Callithrix jacchus: one gene and its partner. The protein of the gene in region 2 interacts with the protein of the main gene of each other region in a pairwise test. Links are inferred from orthologs where the notes say so. Each region holds a gene or a part of one and is shown on either strand. Other genes may lie near its edges. The genes, in order: RFC5 and TRIM38.

Region 1 (3,819 bases), on a different chromosome or scaffold from region 2:
ATGTGTCCGTTGCTCTTGTCCTGGTTGAAGGATCTGTATAAATTTCTTGGTGGTGATGTCTCTCCTAAGTAATAACTTCAGAGAATCTGATTGAGCTTAATAGAATGTGGCTTTAAGATTGTTCATTCATTTTCTTCAGGTAGCTACAGTCTAGTGGGTAAGTCATAAACATGAGCATAAAATTGCAACACAGTAGAGTAAAAATAGCATTACAGAGAATCATTTAAGTTCAAAGATGTTGCCAGCACCCAGAAAAGTGCCTGTAACACAGTAGGCACTCAGTAAATACTTGACTGGCTGCATTACTGAGTGAATTCCAATTGCACCAGGAATACAGAGACAAGGCCCCTACGTCAAGTTGTATCTGCCTCTGATTTAGACATTGAATTGGGTTGAAGAGCTTTCAGCCCAACTCAGGGACCTGGCGTGAATGAGGCAGCTCCCAAACACTGATGGTGCCCTCCTTTCTTCCCAATCCTCAGTTCAGAAATTTATCAGTGAAGACCGACTGCCACACTTGCTTCTCTATGGCCCCCCAGGGACAGGCAAGACATCCACCATCCTAGCCTGTGCGAAGCAGCTATATAAAGACAAAGAATTTGGCTCCATGGTCTTGGAGGTAAATAAGATTGTTCTTACTCTACATATAACTTAGGACTCCAGTCTCTTAATTTCAGTTCTGCTGGTTTTATTTTACTTTAAAAGTGAGTTGCCCCACAGGCAGTTAGGAAAGAAAGAAATTTGAAATAAGATGTTTTAATTCACTTTTTTCTGTAATGGCCATTTTGGTCTGGATTCGCTTTGGTCAGCTAGAGGGCAGTTGTGGGGCTAAGCACTTTTTCTTTGCTGTTGCCAACCTCTACCCAAACCCTGCTTATGGTTACTTGGTTGTTGCCTGCCCGCCATGGCCCCTCCGGATCAATTCTCCACCCTATTCTTGCCCAGAAGGCTGAGCTCTACCGACTAGAAGCTCACTTACCCTCTGGCTCCTGGTTGGGATTGGTCAAGAGGGGCCCTGGCAGGGATAGGGAAGGAAGTGAGTGATGCCTGGACCTTCTCTGGGGGCTGACACCACCGGCAGCATGGCCCACCTGTAGGGTACATCTCACAGGTGGTACCTGTCCGGTAGCCCTCTCCAGTTGCCTAGAGCCACTCCCTTCACTAACCCCTTCAGGCCCAAAGGCGACAGGGATCACATAGCCCCGTGATTTTCCCATATCACATCTTTTAAAAGATCTTTTAAAAGATCTCCTGGGCTGGGTGTAGTGACTCACACCTGTAATCCCAACACTTTGGGAGGCTGAGGCGAGTGGATTGCCTGAGGTCAGGAATTCGAGACCACCCTGGCCGACATGGCAAAACCCCATCTCTAATTTAAAAATATATTAAAAATTAGCCAGGCGACTTTGGGAGACCAAGGTGGGTGGATCACCTGAGGTCAGGAGTTCAAGACCAGCCTGGCTATCATGGTGAATGCCCATCTTAACATTAAAAAATTAAAAAAAATTTTTTAAAGAAAAAAAAAATTAGCCAGGCAAGGTGGCAGACACCTGTAATCCCAGCTACTCAGGAAGCTGAGGAAGAAGAATCGCTGGAACCTAGGAGGCAAGTGTTGCAGTGAGCTGAGATCGTGCCATTGCATTGCAGCCTGGGTAACGAGTGAAACTCCGTCTCAAAAAAAAAAAAATAGATCTCCTTGTTTAGTTCTCTGCAAATTGCTGAGTATGCCATCTGTATATTGCTGAGACCTTGACTAATATACTTAGATTCAAAAAGCTGAGTATTGTCTGTTGCAAGAAAAGAATGTTTATCTTACTTTTTAGACGTGGGTGTCAGAACTTTGCTGCTACTAATGTCCTTATTTCGGTTTAGTAAGCACTTGGTAACCTTGGGATTGTGGTAGTTAAGTTTGGATCATTCTGCTCATACCAGAGGTGCTGCTCAGTGTAACCATACCCAGTAATTATTTCTCCAGTTTATGTAAGAGTCCGTGTCCTCAAAGGGCGGGGATAATAAAGACATCTGCCTTTCGGAATGTAAGGTAATGAGTAGTGAGTTTTGTTAGACATAGAGAGCTAGTCCGCTGAGCTGGACTAATGAAGAGATGCACTGAAGCCCAGAACTCGTGGATAGCACAGCAGCATGCTTTGTGTTTTGACTTTTGTCTTATGCATTTAGCTGAACGCTTCAGATGACAGAGGAATAGACATCGTTCGAGGACCAATCCTGAGCTTTGCTAGCACAAGGACAATATTTAAGTAAGAATTATTTATATCATTTCTCTCCCTTGATGTTGATTAGTAAGATGATATGGTTTAATTTTTTAATCCTTTCCTTTGCCAGTTTATATGGGTTGAAAAAAAGTGACTTTGTTGAAAGCAGCCATGGAAAAGGGATAACAGGGTTGGTAGTAAGAAGCGTTATAATGCAACTATTAAAAGAAATGTTATCTCCATCTGTATATACCTGTATTACAGGTATACATTTTTTGTTGTTTGTTTGTTTGTTTGTTTGTTTGTGGAGACAGGGTCTCGCTCTATCGCCCAGGCTGGAGTGCAGGAGCATGATCTCAGCTCACTGCAACCTCCCACGCTCAAACGATCCTCCAGCCTCAGCCTCCCAAGTAGCTGGGAATACAGGCACAAGCCATCATGTCCAACTAATTTTTGTATTTTTTAGTAGACATGGGGTGTCCCCATGTTGCCTAGGCTGGTCTAGAACTCCTGAGCTCAAGCAGTCTGCCTGCCACAGCCTCCCAAAGTGCTGGGATTACAGGCGTGAGCCCAGCCTGTATTACCAAGTTCTTTAGGGAAAGATTACCTTCATTTTTAGTTCCTGGGAGCTGGTTAGATTACCCTAAGACTGGATGAGCTAGTTTGAATTTAAACAAAACTAAATTGAGATCAGGAAGGATAAGTAGGATGGTGGCTAAAAAAAAGAAAGAAAGAAAAAGGGTGAGGGCCAGGCACAGTGTCTCATGCCTATAATCCTAGGACTTTGGGAGGTCTAGGCAGTTGGATCAGCTGAGGTCACGAGTTCAAGACCAGCCTAGTCAACATAGTAAAACCTTGTCTCTACTGAAAATACAAAAATTATCTGTGCATGGTGGCAGGCACCTGTAATCCCAGCTACCCAGGAGGCAGAGGTTGCAGTGAGCTGAGATCACAGCCTGGGCAACAGAGGAAAAACTCTGTCTCAAACAAAAAGAAAAAGGGTGAGAAGACTGAGACCTGAGTGAAGGAGATGGAGAAAGCAGTTGGCATGATAGGGTACTCTGTGGAAGGAAGGCGAAGGTGCCAGAGGACACAGCACATAGAAGCAAAGAAATCCATCCTCAGTTCCCACCAAGGGTTGAAAGAGTGATGGATCATTTCCTCTCTGAGTGGCCAAAGATGTTTGCCTTGGTCAAAGTTCTAGAAGAAATAGCCTTTCTGAGAGAGGGCCTGATGGCACCAATGGGAAGATGCAGGTTTGGGTTCAGATATTGAGGTGAGATTGAAGACATCTTTAGACAGCACCATTTGTTTTTCTAGGAAAGGCTTTAAGCTGGTGATCTTGGATGAAGCAGATGCCATGACTCAGGACGCCCAGAATGCCTTGAGAAGAGGTAAGCGGAGCCACTGTGTAGCATGTGGGCTGCAGAGCACACTGGAAGGAGAATTGGGAACTTTGTTTCTTCTTGTTGTTGCTGTTCTGTTGTTTTTCCCTCTGTCTCCCAGACTGGAGTGCAGTGGCCGAATCTTGGCTCACTGCAACCTCCGCCTCCCAGGTTCAGGCAATTCTCCAACCTCAGCCTCTCAGGTGGCTGAGATTACAGGC
Region 2 (3,352 bases):
GTCTTTTAATTAAGAGTATTAATTTAAAAAACAAAGGCTGGGTGAAGTGGCTCACACCTGTAATCCCCAGCACTTTGGGAAGCTGGGTGGGCAGATTGCTTGAGCTCAGGAGTTTGAGACCAGCCAAGGCAACATGGTGAAACCCTGTCTTTACAAAAAAATACAAAAATTAGCCAGGCCCAGTGGCATGTACCTGTAGTCCCAGCTCCTTGGGAGGCTAAAGTGGGAGGATGATTGGAATCCAGGAGGTAGAGGCTGCAGTGAGCAGAGATTGTGCCACTGCACTCAAGCCTGAGTAACAAAGTGAGATCCAGTCTCAAAACAAAAATAATAAAAATTTTTTACAATGTAGTTATATACACTTCTGCCGAGACTTTTCTAAAACTCTGTCATTAAAGAAAAAGAAATCCTTCATATGGAGTAGCATAAGTTATTGACCCATTTCTTTTTGATAAGTTTGGATGTTTCCAGTTACCACTTCTGAACTTGGTGCCATTGAATAGAATCACAGGGTTGAGACTGCTAGGTTTTAGGTTGTATTTTATTATTTTATTTGTTTTTTTAGACAGAGTCTCGCTCTGTCCCCCACACTGGAGTACAGTGGCATGACCTTGGCTGCAGCCTTGGCCTCGCAAGTTCAAGAGATTCTCATGCCTCCAGCCTCCCGAGTAGCTGGGATTACAGGCGCCTGCCACCACACCTGGCTAATTTTTGTATTTTTAGTAGAGATGGGGATTTGCCATGTTGGTCAGGCTGGTCTCAAACTCCTGGCCTCAAGTGATCCACCCACCTTATCCTCCCAAAATGCTGGGATTACAAGTGTGACCTTATCCTCCCAAAATGCTGGGATTACAGGCGCCTGCCACCACACCTGGCTAATTTTTGTATTTTTAGTAGAGATGGGGATTTGCCATGTTGGTCAGGCTGGTCTCAAACTCCTGGCCTCAAGTGATCCACCCACCTTATCCTCCCAAAATGCTGGGATTACAAGTGTGACCTTATCCTCCCAAAATGCTGGGATTACAAGTGTGAGCCATGGCACCAGGCCTGGACTTTGTCTTCTGTTTCATCAGTCCTTCTGTCTATTCAACACCAGGAAGCTAGTCTTAACCCTTCTCTCACACTCTGCTCAGCTGTTTCTCAGGCAGATCTCAGTAGGTCTGGTAACCTCCAGAACTGCTGCTCAGATTATTAAACAACCTGTCGTGGTTGGAAGTGTCAATGCTATTTTGATTTTCCACCTTTTTGTTTTAATGCAATTGGCAGACAATTGCAGCTTTCTTTCATCACCCCCGAGTTCAAATGATAGGAAATGAACTAGGAGAACACAGACACTCCGACTTGCGGGTCCCCTCACTCATCACCTGAAGACCTTGGAAATCAAAGCCCTGATCCCTCAAAGACAGATAGAGCAACGTATGATCATCACCACTACCTTGCTTTGTCCCAGTGCAGGTCAACCAAATGCGGTATTTTTAGTTTCTAACTCCATTTATTCAGCGTAAATTAATTATATATCCACTAAAATCCCAGAACTATTCTGAGAACTGAGGAAATGGCAGTGAAGAAAACAGACCAAATTTTCTGCCCTTATGTGATTTACATTATTTTCTTTGGGCTGGTTAAATGAAAGAGCCTCTGCTTTTTTCCTTAATCATCTAGGGGAGGCAGAAATAAAGGAGAATAATGATAAACCTGGAAATAGGGCCGGAGAGTATCAGAGAAGGAAGCCTTTGGGAAGGTGAAGATGTGGCAGCCAGTAGTCCCGTTGTAAAAGGATACAACTCCGGCCTCACAGTCCAGAAAAACTCCCACAACCAGGGGCTGCTCAGGCAGAAGAAGGGAAGTTGGGGGAGAAGTTAGCGCTACATAACCTTTCTTTTTGCACAGCCTTAGGGTCCAGAATCCAAACTGAGGCTCTTGCTTCATGCCAGTGCCCCTCTGCACATTTTCCACACAAACTCCTAAATCCCACCCAGTTCCTTCTCCAACATCCACTTCAAAGTAGCATCTTCCTGAGGTGAAGCCTTCACAACCCAAGACACAGGGCAAGGCACTAAATCTCCTGGAAGAAGTGTCCTGATTCTGCTGGGGGTATCCTCGAGTCACTTGTCTCCGATCTTCAGACAGAATTAGTTCATGATGAGCTGTATCTGGATCCAGAGTCACACTGACTGCAAAAACAAAACAAACACAAAACCACTTTCGTTGGTGCAAAGAACATAAGTTATTGTATTTTATTTATTTATTTATTTATTTTTTTGAGACCGAGTCGTACACTATCTTGGCTCACTGCAACCTCTGCCTCCCGGGTTCAGGCAATTCTGCCGCCTCAGTCTTCTGAGTAATTGAGTGTTTGCACCACCACAAGTGGCTAATTTTTATATTTTTAGTAGAGGTGGGGTTTCGCCATGTTGGCCAGGCTGGTCTTGAACTCCTGACCTCAGGTGATCCACCCTCCTTGGCTTCCCAAAGTGCTGGGATTACACAGGTGTGAGCAACCATGCTGAGCCACAAGTTACTTTCAATAAAACTAGCCTGTGTTCAAACCCAAGTATTGTTTCTTATAAACCGCGTGAGCTTAGGCAAGTCATTTAACTCTCTGAGCCTCAGTTTTGTTAATTATAAAGTGGAAATTATCATATTTGTTGCAAAGAAACGTGGGTGTTATTGAATATGCTATGTTTACTTAACACACAGTAAAATTCCTGATACACGGTAAGCACCTAATAAGTGGTAGTGATAATAATGTCATCAGCATCATCTTTGTCTTAGTCAAGGTACAGAACTAATCAGTTAATATGGTCACCATCCTGTCTGAAGTTCTTCTCCCATGCAAGACTTCCAGGAATCATGAAACAGCTGAGCATAAAGATAGCTTTTCCCTTCTCTACTGAATAACCACCAACACTGAGACTCAGGGAAGGAAAATGACTCAGCTAATGTCTTAGCTTGTTATTGGAAGACCCAGGTCTCAGGACACACGCCTAGTTCCATGACTTTTAATTATAAGCTCTTCTCTTTCCCCTCAGATAACGTTCCATACAGATTAGCATGAGGTGACAATACACTGAGGATCAATACACATGAAAAGTATCAGACTAGAGTCAAACAAGGCAGAAAAAAAATCTGATAACCTAAAGTGAGATACTGGACAGTATGCAGTTTTAAAAATAAATAATGGTAATAGGATGTTCTAACCAGAAGGTGAAGAAGCCACTGTGCTACTGGCTTAAACACTGATCAGCTGGTCCACGACAATAAAGGAATTCAAGTTCAAAAACTCTCCTGTGCTGGACGCTGTTTATTCTTCCAGATTATTCCCTCACCTTCCTGTCTTGCTCTGTGCCCA

What was found.
Region 1: the proteins of TRIM38 (region 2) and RFC5 interact in binary tests that used the Homo sapiens proteins (3 or more experiments, as listed by UniProt). The link is inferred for Callithrix jacchus from reciprocal best matches to the Homo sapiens genes TRIM38 and RFC5.

What each region holds. Positions count from the first base shown.
Region 1 is NC_133510.1:121,075,655-121,079,473, forward strand, and holds part of RFC5 (replication factor C subunit 5), read left to right. Parts: intron 1-482; coding exon 483-619; intron 620-2,178; coding exon 2,179-2,258; intron 2,259-3,533; coding exon 3,534-3,607; intron 3,608-3,819. UniProt on the Homo sapiens protein: Subunit of the replication factor C (RFC) complex which acts during elongation of primed DNA templates by DNA polymerases delta and epsilon, and is necessary for ATP-dependent loading of proliferating cell nuclear antigen (PCNA) onto primed DNA.
Region 2 is NC_133505.1:4,708,831-4,712,182, forward strand, and holds the end of TRIM38 (E3 ubiquitin-protein ligase TRIM38), read right to left. Parts: intron 2,175-3,352; coding exon 1,651-2,174; 3' UTR 524-1,650; downstream 1-523. UniProt on the Homo sapiens protein: E3 ubiquitin-protein and E3 SUMO-protein ligase that acts as a regulator of innate immunity. Acts as a negative regulator of type I interferon IFN-beta production by catalyzing 'Lys-48'-linked polyubiquitination of AZI2/NAP1, leading to its degradation.